3 linked regions of the Arabidopsis thaliana genome follow. The protein of the gene in region 1 interacts with the protein of each later gene in a pairwise test. Each region holds a gene or a part of one and is shown in the gene's direction. Other genes may lie near its edges.

What was found.
Region 2: the proteins of NAC038 (region 1) and AT4G09100 interact in a two-hybrid assay, tested with the Arabidopsis thaliana proteins (one large-scale study listed by BioGRID).
Region 3: the proteins of NAC038 (region 1) and AT3G50650 interact in a two-hybrid assay, tested with the Arabidopsis thaliana proteins (one large-scale study listed by BioGRID).

Annotation. Positions count from the first base shown.
Region 1 is NC_003071.7:10,382,952-10,388,597, reverse strand, and holds NAC038 (NAC domain containing protein 38), read left to right. Parts: upstream 1-1,972; 5' UTR 1,973-2,000; intron 2,001-2,117; exon of another isoform or gene 2,118-2,165; 5' UTR 2,166-2,211; coding exon 2,212-2,398; intron 2,399-4,143; coding exon 4,144-4,415; intron 4,416-4,589; coding exon 4,590-5,081; 3' UTR 5,082-5,101; downstream 5,102-5,646.
Region 2 is NC_003075.7:5,809,393-5,812,348, forward strand, and holds AT4G09100 (RING/U-box superfamily protein), read left to right. Parts: upstream 1-1,722; 5' UTR 1,723-1,863; coding exon 1,864-2,262; 3' UTR 2,263-2,454; downstream 2,455-2,956.
Region 3 is NC_003074.8:18,805,627-18,810,141, reverse strand, and holds AT3G50650 (GRAS family transcription factor), read left to right. Parts: upstream 1-1,898; 5' UTR 1,899-2,041; coding exon 2,042-3,670; 3' UTR 3,671-4,003; downstream 4,004-4,515. UniProt on the Arabidopsis thaliana protein: Probable transcription factor involved in plant development. Involved in environmental abiotic stress resistance. May increase the expression of stress-responsive genes. Binds DNA in vitro.

The DNA of each region.
Region 1 (5,646 bases):
ATGTTGTTGTTTTGTTTCAAGTTATTTCTATCCTACCACTAGTCAGTCAAACCGGAATTTCAAAACTTCAAAGTTAAATGTTAGGTTTCCATTGATTAATTACTCTATACACCTTTTTTTTGTCGGGCAAAATCAATATATTAGGACAAGACGTCGGAAAAAGTTTGGAAGAAAACCAACAATGTGTCCGCAATATTTGGACCGTAAAGAATGATTATATATTACGTTTATACAAAATGATCTTGAAGTGAGGGTACCTAAAATGCTAGGTTGATTTCCAAATATGTATTTGTGTTGGAGCGAATTAATCAGCGGGTTGTTGAATGATCACATGAAATCCTTAAGATAATTGAAGGAGACTCAAATTACACACACGCAAACTCATCCATATCTGATCTTAGATATATTATATATGGAACTAACATTGGTCATTTTGCGGTCTTGAGCGGAAGAGATGACTCAATACTTAGTACTTTTCTAAGAAGATTGAACTCAAAACAGCCTCAACGAGCTAAATTATTTTTGTGTGAAGATAGAACTCAAAATTACATCCACAGAACTGCAATCTATTTATATGCGAAGAGATAACGCAACATTTAATTTTAGCAAGCTAAAATTCACTTTCCAATTAAACGTAAACTCAACACTTACTTTCAACAAACTGATATATCTACTTGAAAAGAAAACTCAACGCTTGCACTCAGCGAGCATAACTTCTCTTCTTCTTCTTCTTTTTTCTTGTCGAGGTAACAAAAATGTCACAAGTTTTGTTGAGGAGAAGAGTTTACAGTCACATCGGGAGTTTTTTTTTCCCATTAAATCTCTTTTCTTTGGAGGTCTTTAATTTGATTCTCAACAGATACGTGATCAAGTTGTGAATAATCAATTTTTTTGTGAATATATACCAACTCGAATAAAATAAAAACATAAATGGACAAAATAAAAAAAAGTCAAAAAATAAAATTGTCATTAATTATTATGTGTCCTTTTTTGGTAATTTATTTTTGGGAAAACAGTAAATATTTTATTGTGTTTAATTATATAGAAGAATAGCTAATATTTGGAACAAAATTGTTCACGTGGAAAAGACAGTGAGAAAACTTGGATCCATCCATAGTCCATATATATGGGTAGTCTTCCTTCTTTCTTTATTTGATGTGTTATTCATGACCATTTTATATTTGAATTAAATCATATAAACCATTTGATTCTTTGACCATCGACCATTGACCCCTAAACCAAACATATGATTTTTTTTGGGAGTCGTAATTAGCAACAAAACGGACCGGCTCGTGCGTGATCCGACACCAACACCAACATAAGGTTTTTTTTTTTCCGTTCTTAACACCAACATAGTTCATTCATATATATAGGGAATATACACATGTGGGTGTGTGTATAAGTATATCTGTATATATGTATAAGCTAAGATGAATTAATAAGGGTCCTAAAAGGAGAATTTCTTGACCAACTACACAAAATAAACAAAGGATAAAATTTGGACGTGTGAGGTTTAGCTGCATGTACCTTGTACTTGAAGACCCTTATTAGGTGAGAGCTTCATGCACACACTCTCTTCCACATTTTCCTCCCTTTTCTACATAATAATTTCTACCCCATACAATAGTAATGTTATTTAATTATTTATAAACAATCACATAAACACTGAAATGTAAATTATATTCTTACAGCGTCTTATTGAAAATTCTATGTCTTTCAAACTTAGATGGTAATTGGGTTTTCTAAATATGCTAACAAAACTTAGAATTGATAAATATGTGTATGTATTTATAAATTAATCAAAACCGTGTTAGCGTAATTGTTTTTTAATCCCATTCACGATAAAGTAAGAAGAAAAAAACCCTACTCTTTGTCGTCTTCCTTCATCTTTTTCCTCCTAAGAATAGTCGCAAGTCATCCTTGTCTCATGATATATAAATACCATCAAAACCCTAATCTCATAAAAGTTTTAGTTGTCTGGTTTTTCCTCATCTATACAAGTAAGCCCAATTTCTCACCCTATACATATCATACATATATATCGATCTTTTACTATTCTCTCTTCTTTCGAATTCCTCCTTTAATACCTTTGTCTTATGGATAAACAGTTGTAGAACGCTAGGATCTATGTGAAACTTAGACTTGTTACTATGTGTTTTAAGCAGGTATAAAAAGGTTCTTGGATTTGGAGTAAACTAAAGATCATATAAAATGGAACAAGGAGATCATCAGCAGCATAAGAAAGAAGAAGAAGCTTTGCCACCGGGTTTCAGATTTCATCCGACGGATGAGGAGCTAATCTCATATTACTTGGTTAATAAGATTGCCGATCAAAACTTCACCGGGAAAGCAATCGCTGACGTTGATCTTAACAAGTCCGAGCCATGGGAGCTTCCTGGTACGTTAATTTATCTTAAGTCTCTTATTCGTAGACACACACAAATTAAAAGATCACATGTATGAATAAACATATTTTTTTTCCTATGTCGATACATGTATATATAATATATATATATATTGATATATATCTTTGATTTCTTTAAAATTTGGTAAGACCTATATTATTTGGATTTAAAGATATCCAAAGGAATATGTGTCTTTATATATGCATATTGCTTATTGCTTTGGATATCTTTACACATATACAACTAATACACACATGAGTAACATGACTTAAATGAACCATATATATGTGTTTGTGTGTGTGCGCATGGATGTGTATATGGATATACTACTTGTACACACATAACACATAAATGTGTGTGTATTTAAACGGAAAACATAGTGTTCATGTTAAATGATCTTTCTATTTTGGGAAGCATTTAAAAGTTCATAACACCCACTATCTATATTTTTTGCCTAATGAAAATGCCATAATATCATGAGTACATTCTTGGCGACGTACTAATCGTAAGTCAGTTAGTGTAAAAAAAATGTACACCGGTTAGATATCACATCCACAATCTACAAAACTCTTTTCTTGTACTAAATATAAGCTTATAGACATGAGCTTATCGAACGGAGGCTAGATGTATACTAAATGTTAATCTTTGGAATATATATATATATATATATATATATCAATCCAAGAAAAAAAAAGTCTATGTAATAGTTTAAGTTTCTGTGAGAAAAAAAAAACTCGGTGATTTAAAAAAATAGTAAGCATATATCTTTAAAATAGAAAGTCACACAATGAAGTTTCCTAACAAACATTAGTTGCATGAACGGAAGTCATGCATTCACTACCGTACGTACGTTAATTTCTTATCTACTTATTTTGTCTTTAATTAGTTCTATCCATAATCCGATAAACTAACAATATCTTTGTTTCTTATATTTAAACCAAACTAAACCATTTTTAAGATAACAAAAAATTCAATAATCCGCAACAGGCCACTTATTTACATTTACATTTTCACTTTACTTTTTATTTTTATTTTTCTGAATAAAATCTTAAATTAAGAAAAAAAAAAAACCTTTTACATCGAAATGCAAAAATGCTGAAGATTTTTTGAAAGCAATTAATAGACAAGTGATTTACATTTAAATCCTAGAGGCAAACCAAGCTTGAAGGCCTGATTCGTATCTTTTGTCACCCGTATTTCGAATTGCTCATAGTTGATTCTGGACTTGCTTAACTATCTAGTTCATGAGTGTAGCCGTATAGGTGTTGGGGTCGGTTTCTCCTCGTGTCTCCGTCCATTTCGTTCCCCTCCACACAAAATGCAATTTCACTTTAAAGAAATGCAATATCGTTATTTTCTTACCATTCTTCAAATCTTCACGTTTTAGAAATTGATTCTGCTATATATGATGCATATGTTAAAATTATAATTAAAAAAAAAACATAACAAATCATTAATCTAGATAAACATAGTTTTTTAACATTCATAATTATTCAACTCAAAACGTTTTCGCTATTTTATTTTTCTACTATTCATCTAATATACCAACAATACTATCTTTATAAAGGAGTTACTCTATTAATCATCACTAAAACAATTTATTATCATCATTCACAGAAGCAAAAAAGAAGAAACATAATTGTTAGTTACGTGCTAAAATTTTGGAAATATTTGATAAAAAAAAAGTCAGCTAAATCGCCAAGTTATTCACAAAGTTTCTGATTTATAATGTTGATAGAGAAGGCGAAAATGGGAGGAAAAGAATGGTACTTTTTTAGCCTCCGGGACCGGAAGTACCCGACGGGAGTGAGGACGAATAGGGCGACGAATACAGGATATTGGAAAACCACAGGAAAAGACAAAGAGATATTCAATAGCACAACCTCGGAGTTGGTCGGGATGAAGAAGACTTTGGTCTTTTACAGAGGACGAGCTCCTCGTGGGGAGAAGACTTGTTGGGTCATGCATGAGTATCGACTTCACTCCAAGTCCTCATATAGAACCTCCAAGGTACACTATTTTCCTTTGTTATTCTTCTACCAAATATACATTATGTCATGGTCATGATTTAAATACGAGTCTTGAATGTTTTTTTTTTTTTGTGGGATTAGTGTTTCACAAGAAGAATATACATAAACTCAACAATTCTCATTTCATTTTTCATGATGTAACATGTAAATGCAGCAAGACGAGTGGGTAGTGTGTAGAGTGTTCAAGAAAACAGAAGCAACCAAGAAATACATAAGCACCAGTAGCAGCAGCACAAGTCATCACCACAACAACCACACAAGAGCCTCAATACTATCAACCAACAACAATAATCCTAATTACTCATCAGACCTCCTTCAACTCCCACCGCATCTACAACCACACCCGAGCCTCAATATTAACCAATCCCTCATGGCAAACGCCGTTCACCTAGCTGAGCTCTCAAGAGTCTTCCGTGCCTCTACAAGCACCACCATGGACTCTTCTCATCAGCAGCTAATGAACTACACCCACATGCCTGTCTCAGGGCTCAACCTCAACCTTGGCGGTGCACTGGTCCAGCCGCCTCCTGTTGTGTCTCTTGAGGATGTTGCCGCGGTTAGTGCTTCGTACAATGGCGAAAACGGGTTTGGAAATGTGGAGATGAGCCAGTGCATGGACTTGGATGGATACTGGCCATCTTATTGATTGGTAATTGTCAGTTTAAGTTATGGTTTTTATATTGTTTCCATTTACTTGTTGGTAAAACGTTTTTGGTTGTTCTTTCTATTGCATTTGTTTACCTGTTCTAGGAAAATATTAAGAATCAAAGACTAGTCAAACCAATTATGGTCTGGCTCTATGATTTTTAGTTACAAATAAAATAAAAGCTGTAACAATTCCCAATTTGGTTTCGATTTTTGAGAAAAAGTTTTCAAAAAGATAAAAGACAAAGAGTGATTGCTTTTAAAGAGTAATGGCACAAGTACCAAATTTATCCACATGAATCACAAAATACACAAACCAAGCCCTTAGTAGATTTCCTCTAGATGTCAATCTTCTCTGTATAAAAGACTGAAAACTTTATATTCAAAAGGCATCTCAAAAACAGAGAGAGTGAAGAACACTTTTGCACAGCGAGATTAAAAAAAAACCCATAAGATACCTCTAACATAAGCTGTTTCTTTCATACGCAACGAAGGAAACATATAGACTGTAGGTGAGGCTCACAGAGAACGCATCAAAACCCGTCTTTACCTGCAAGAATGTAGAT
Region 2 (2,956 bases), on another chromosome or scaffold:
CAAAAAATAAATAAATTTCAGACAATATTTCCCCCCAAAAATTTCCATCAAAATTATTTCCACCAAAAACTTTTATAAACAAATTTTCCCGAAAAAAAAAAAAGAAATTCACGAAAGATTTTATAAAATTCATGAAGGATTTAAGAAATTCATGAAGGGTTTCAAGAAATTCAGAATTAAACTTTTTTTTTTTTGTAACCCTTCCTTAATTTCATGATAATTTTTCATGAATTTTGTAAAATCTTTTCTGAATTTTGTGGAAACTTTCAAGGAAATTTAGGAAGACTTCTACAAAACTAAGGAAGGGTTTCACGAAAGATTTTTTTTTGTGAAATCCTTCTTGAATTTTGTAAAATCTTTCTTGAATTTCGTGAAATTTTTTCCAGTTTTCGTAGAATCCTTCCTAAATTTTCTTATGTGGAAAAAATTTGACGGAATGTTTTGACAAAAATTGTTTTTGGCGGGAAAGTTTTTACGGAATTTTTTTTGGCGGGAAAATTTGACAAAAAAAAATTCACGGAAAAATTTGAAAGATTTTTTTTTCACGGAAAACTTTGACTGATAATTTTTTTAATTAGGTGCTATTTTAGGAAGAAAATGTTTTGAGTGCTATTTGTAGATATTTTCAAATGAGGTGCTATTTTTGGAAGAAAATGTTTTGAGTGCTATTTGTAGATATTTTCAAATGAGGTGCTATTTTTGGAAGAAATTTTGTGTGCTAATTGTGTCAATCTTTTTTTTTTTGTTAACCGATATTAATTAGAGCTCAACAAAGTCAATTCACGTAAAATGTTGTTTACATATGTGATATATTGTGGTTCAATATAATTTTTTTTGTGCAAAATTATCCGTATTTATATTTGCACTATGAAATATTAAAGGTAAATAAAAACTTATGAATTCTTCTTTATTAATTCCTTCAAATATACTGAGAATAATAATTCTTGTAAACTAGAGAAATTTTAACATTAACCTATTTTTCTATTTTCTTTGGGAGTTTCCTATTAAGGTAACTTTAAGAATAGAAACTAGTTATGTATTTAAAACGATACAAACTAGGATATCTAAATTGTATTAAAAAGATTGTACATTCAAAATTTGTATACGAGATCTTCAAATTTTGTATATAAACATCGAATTATATAAAATATTTTTAATAACTAAAAAAAAATATTTGTATCTTTGGCGGTCAACTAAACCTTTTTTTATAGCATATATATATGATATATAAAGTTTCTTTATGATATAATTATCTATCTAACATTTAAGATTGTATTAAAGTTTCGAATTTTATGTCTACGTAATTTTGTTTCCTTTCATTTTATACACAATGTTGTATTGTTTGTACATGAATTCTTTTCAAAATAATTTTTTAGATATCATTCATATAAAATAGAGCTAATGAGATAATAAATTACCTTGAAGGCTTGAACATTGTCGAGACAAAAGTTGAAAACAGAAGGACAAAAGATCACTGTCAAATAATTATTAATACATCAGAAAAATAATTAAAAACGATAATATTGTTTTCAGTATTCACCTACACATAATATGAATATCATGTTTACATATTTCGACCTTTTTTGATCGGTTCTAATAATCTATATCTCAAAACTAACCAATCTCATCTAGATTCCGTCAAATTAAGTTTAGTCTATAATTACGAAACTAAAAAATATTAGCAAATGGGAAAGTGCTAGAGTCATTGCACTAGTTTATTATGTGAAACACGAAGAAACACGGTGGCGCGTAGAAATCACCTAGAAACTACGAAGAAGACGTGAACCCCACGTCTCTCTTTCTTCTTCTTCTTTCTCTATCTCTTCCCATTACAAAACTCAAGAAGATGTTAAAGTACGAAACATGTCATACTTCAAAAGAAACGAAGGAACAATTGTGTTTGCGTTTGCGAGCATCGGGTTCATAGCGTTTTATATCATTAATTACTACATTCGGCGATGCAGAAACCGTGCCGCAGCAGCCGGGGACATTGAGGAAGCTCGAATGAGTCCGAGGAGGCCACCGCGAGGACTTGACGCTGAAGCCATCAAGTCGTTTCCTTCATTCGTTTACACGGAAGCTAGAGGAATTGAGCCAGGAATAGGCGAGCTAGAATGTGTTGTGTGTTTGAATGAATTCAAAGACGATGAAACGCTGCGTTTGGTACCACCTTGTGTACATGTGTTTCATGCTGACTGTGTAGACATCTGGCTTTCTCATAGCTCCACATGTCCTATCTGTCGTGCTAAAGTAGTTCCTTAATACGAGTCTCTTAATTAGCCTTTTACTATGCATTTTGCGTTACATAGTTCTCCCTTTGTAAATAAATTATCTTTATAGTGTTGATATTTTACCAACCGTAATGATGATACTACTCCATGGAAGGAAATAATCTACAAAGGAATTGAGGCATATTGAATTATTCAATGTCATGATGATGATGATGAATTAGACTAGAAAATGACAAAAACATAGTTTATCTCTTTGGTTACTTGTTCATGTATTACACACTAAACACATCTATTTGGCTTTGGAGAGGGACCACCTATCATGCTGTGTACAACAAATATGTATATATGTAAGTTACAAGTTAATGAAACGTTCGGATATATAGTTATATACCATACTTTGAAGGCTTTAATTAGTTACTCATATGATGTAAACATTTGTTATGGTGCGAATAATCTAGCACCAAATACATAAACCTTATTGGTCCGTCACATTCCATTGAGAGGACGTGAACATCAGAGGGATGTGACTGACCAATAAGGATTAGGTCAAAACTGTTGGAAAAGTCTTGTTGCGTAGATCAACAAGTTAATAGAGAGGGCATGAGTAATGTAGTACTTGTTCTACGTCTATAGTGACGTAAAGACTTCTTCAAAAGTCAAAACGTTAGAGGAAGAAGCCAAATCAATCATTCCGACCAAAACTAATCTAACTAAACATAGTAGTA
Region 3 (4,515 bases), on another chromosome or scaffold:
ATAGGTAAATTTTAGTTGGTAAGAGTTGAAACTAAAAATTAGTATTTAAAAAAAAAAGCAAAGAATGTGACAAAAATGGTAAATATATAGAGAGACTTTCTTGGGGATGACTCAATGCCACTCTTTGTTCATACATAAGAAACCCCACCGATGACTTGGATAGAAAGAAAAGACAAATCAAACCCTTTCATTCTTACTCATGTCCTTTTCATACACCACTCATTCTCTCTCTCTCTCTATCTATTTTCTCCAAGTCCACTTGCAGATAGGTGCAATGGTTAAACACTAAAGTGGGATTGCCATTTTCAAAGACAAGTCCTTTTCAAAAATATCATCTTCTTCATTCTCCTTGTTGAAATCATTACCAATTTAGAACAGTCCATGGCACTTTGTAGTAAAAAATGTCAAAAGTGAAAATCAAAAGTAGACTTGGGCCAGGGACCATATACCATGTTTAGTAATGTAATTTAGATATTTAAGTTATAAGTAGTGGAGAAGTAGGCCTTTTGACGCGGATACAACGATGAAATGAAAAGAGTGATGTCTCAAAGAGTCAAGTGTCGTTCCCATGTGCTTTTTGTTCGCTATTGCTCTTTTCTATTTCATTCGCTTTAGGTTTTTAGAAATTGCAAAGTCACAAAGAGCTTCCACACTCAAACCTCAAATAAGCAAATTCTCGAACTATGCGTCGTGTATGAATGATAATTCATAAAACTTGGTTTGTTATTGAAAGACTTTTAAATTCTATAATCCTCTTTGGACTCTTTTCTTGTTTCTTCTTTGCTTGTGTTTTTTTTTTGGTATTTTTGTGTAATTTTTAGCTTTTGGCTAATGGCTACTACATTTTCTTCGTCAAAGTTCGTCCACCAACAACAGATACTAGTAGAGCCCGCCACAAATCGCTTTTGCTCCATTGTATATGGGCCTACTTACGGACCCACAAGCCGTCCTCCACAACACTAACGTTGAGATAAAAAAGACATGCGTATACAAATAAAACATGTCTATTGTTTAATTTTTGCTTGCTCAAGTCATATTCAAGATGTTAGCTTAACTTGTCGAAAGGTTTTTTTACAAAAGTAACTGAAACTAAACCAATGAAGTCACTGAAATTTGTTAACCAAAGTCCAATTTAACGACCCTTTTAGTTGATAAGAAACAGCTTTGAAAAACCTTGACCTTTGCGGCTTGAAAGCAGAAGATAATAACCTAATTCTTTTTACTTTTCTTACATCAATCTTTTTACCTTTATAATACTGTTAGTTAAAATGAAAAAAGACAGAAAAGTTGCAGGCGACATGCAGGTGACAAGTAGCAGAAGACAGTTGTCGACGTGTCACATTCACCATTTCAGCCAAAGCCATTGATCTGATTCTAGACGGTGGAGATGAGGTCACACTCTTCGATACGTAACTGCCGATACATGACGTCATCGTGTCTGTGGGTCCCATAAGTGAGATATCGTTTTACTCTCTCTTTTTTTTCATAACGTCAACTCTTTTTTTTACCCATATTAACAGAGTGGTAATAATTATTTAACAAAAAAAAACCTATGTATTTTTTATTTTTTGGTCAAAAGGTTTCTGAATAAATTTGTAAGATTATACGAAACTACAAATTCATGAGATATAGAAATTATTCAATTGATATTTTGATAAATTACATTTCTATTATTAAATTCTTGAAAATAATTAAATACAAAACTGAGTTTTTTAGTAAACTATGTTAGTTAGTTTCTTCATTTTTTGTTGTTGTTGTTGGTTTTATAGTTTCTTCATTTCTTGCAGTTAATAACGTAATTTTGTACTTTTAAACTAAAGTGGTAATTGATTAAAAATACAGTACTCGAAAATGATAAATCGGATGACAAAAAAAAAGAAAATGATAAATCAAAATGAAAATACTCACTTTCTTACTTTTTTCTTCCTACTAAAATCTCTCCGGTTTCATTCATATCCCTCTCTCTCTCTGGGCCTTACTCAATCACCACCAAATAACAGACAAAAAAACGCCTTCATCGCCGGCGAAAGTGAGTCGGAGAATGGCGTATATGTGCACCGACAGCGGAAACTTAATGGCTATAGCACAACAACTCATCAAACAGAAGCAGCAACAACAATCACAACATCAACAACAAGAAGAACAAGAACAAGAACCCAACCCCTGGCCCAATCCATCCTTCGGGTTTACTCTTCCCGGTTCGGGTTTCTCCGACCCGTTTCAAGTAACCAACGACCCAGGTTTTCACTTTCCACACCTGGAGCATCATCAAAACGCAGCCGTCGCTTCCGAGGAGTTTGACTCCGACGAGTGGATGGAGAGTTTGATCAACGGTGGAGATGCGTCACAAACCAATCCAGACTTCCCAATCTACGGCCATGATCCATTCGTCTCATTCCCGAGTCGACTCAGTGCTCCTTCATATCTCAACCGAGTCAACAAAGATGACTCAGCGAGTCAACAACTCCCTCCGCCACCAGCTTCCACCGCTATATGGTCTCCATCTCCGCCATCACCACAACATCCTCCTCCTCCCCCGCCGCAGCCGGATTTTGATCTAAACCAGCCGATTTTTAAAGCTATCCACGATTATGCACGTAAACCGGAAACTAAACCGGACACACTAATTCGGATCAAAGAATCCGTGTCCGAATCAGGCGACCCGATACAACGAGTCGGGTATTACTTCGCAGAAGCTCTGTCTCATAAAGAAACAGAGTCTCCGTCGTCATCGTCGTCGTCATCCCTAGAAGATTTCATTCTCTCATACAAAACCTTAAACGACGCATGTCCATATTCAAAGTTCGCTCATTTAACAGCGAATCAAGCAATTCTCGAAGCTACGAATCAATCAAACAACATTCACATAGTCGATTTCGGGATTTTTCAAGGTATTCAATGGTCTGCTCTGTTACAAGCTTTAGCGACCCGTTCTTCTGGTAAACCCACCCGGATCCGGATTTCGGGTATACCCGCTCCGTCTCTAGGAGACTCACCGGGACCGTCTCTGATCGCTACGGGAAACCGTCTCCGTGATTTCGCGGCGATTTTGGATCTCAATTTCGAGTTTTATCCGGTTCTGACTCCGATTCAATTACTAAACGGGTCAAGTTTTCGGGTTGACCCGGATGAGGTTTTGGTTGTGAATTTTATGCTTGAGCTTTATAAGCTTCTAGATGAAACAGCGACGACTGTTGGTACGGCGCTCCGGTTAGCTAGATCGTTAAACCCGAGGATTGTGACGCTTGGAGAATACGAAGTCAGTTTAAACCGGGTTGAATTTGCTAACCGGGTTAAGAACTCTCTCCGGTTTTATTCCGCGGTTTTTGAATCGCTTGAACCGAATTTGGATCGAGATTCGAAAGAAAGGCTGAGAGTGGAGAGAGTGTTGTTCGGTAGGAGGATTATGGATTTGGTCCGATCAGATGATGATAATAATAAACCGGGAACCCGGTTTGGGTTAATGGAGGAGAAAGAACAATGGAGAGTGTTGATGGAGAAAGCTGGATTTGAGCCGGTTAAACCGAGTAATTACGCGGTTAGCCAAGCGAAGCTGCTACTATGGAACTACAATTATAGTACATTGTATTCACTTGTTGAATCGGAGCCAGGTTTCATCTCCTTGGCTTGGAACAATGTGCCTCTCCTCACCGTTTCCTCTTGGCGTTGACTACTTGGTCCGATAAGTTAATCTAGTATTTTGAGTTAGCTTTTAGAATTGAATTGTTTGGGGTTAGATTTGGATGTTTAATTAGTCTCTAGCCTATTCTCTTACTCTTTTTTATCTAGTGCTTGGAGTGATGATGGTTTGTCGTTTATGTTCATTTGTAATATATATTGTATGTAACATTTGACTAGATTTCTTTGGTATAAACGAAAGAAGCTAAACCAAATTCATGTGAATGAAAAAAACACTAGAATTAACCCCTGAAATTGAGGAAAGGAGGTGATGAAGTTTGATTTTGAAATGAGAGTATTATGGTCCCATAAAAGAGACTGAAATTTGAATTGCACTAAGATCTTTCACTAACACACCATTTCTTCTCCCTTTTCATCATTTTGTCTCCACTTTTTCTTGCCTAATATAGTTTTGTTTACTTCATGAAAATTATATACCAATGTTTTCTGTACCATTCACTGAATAATAAAATAGGAGCATAATTATTTGTCAGTGAAGTAAAAGCCAAAAATACGAAGGCGCACTGACAAGTATTTCAATCTTTCTGTGTCAGTCTTGTTTCTCTTTGTTCGAACTTCAAACGTGCCACTATGACGTCAACTCTCGAATTTCTTCTTCAGTGGTCTTTTGGTCCCCATTTCCTATATCTCTCAGCCACTACTCTGACTCTGTCTGTGAGTCTGATAGTAAATTTTACTTCCCTAACGAAGATAAAAGCCCACTCTGTTTATGCTTGGCCCAAAATAAACAGGCCTAATCTCTGTCCCATTCCTTTATTTATATTAGCCACAAACAAAAACAATACATAGAAGTATTTTGCAAATAACCCAACCAAG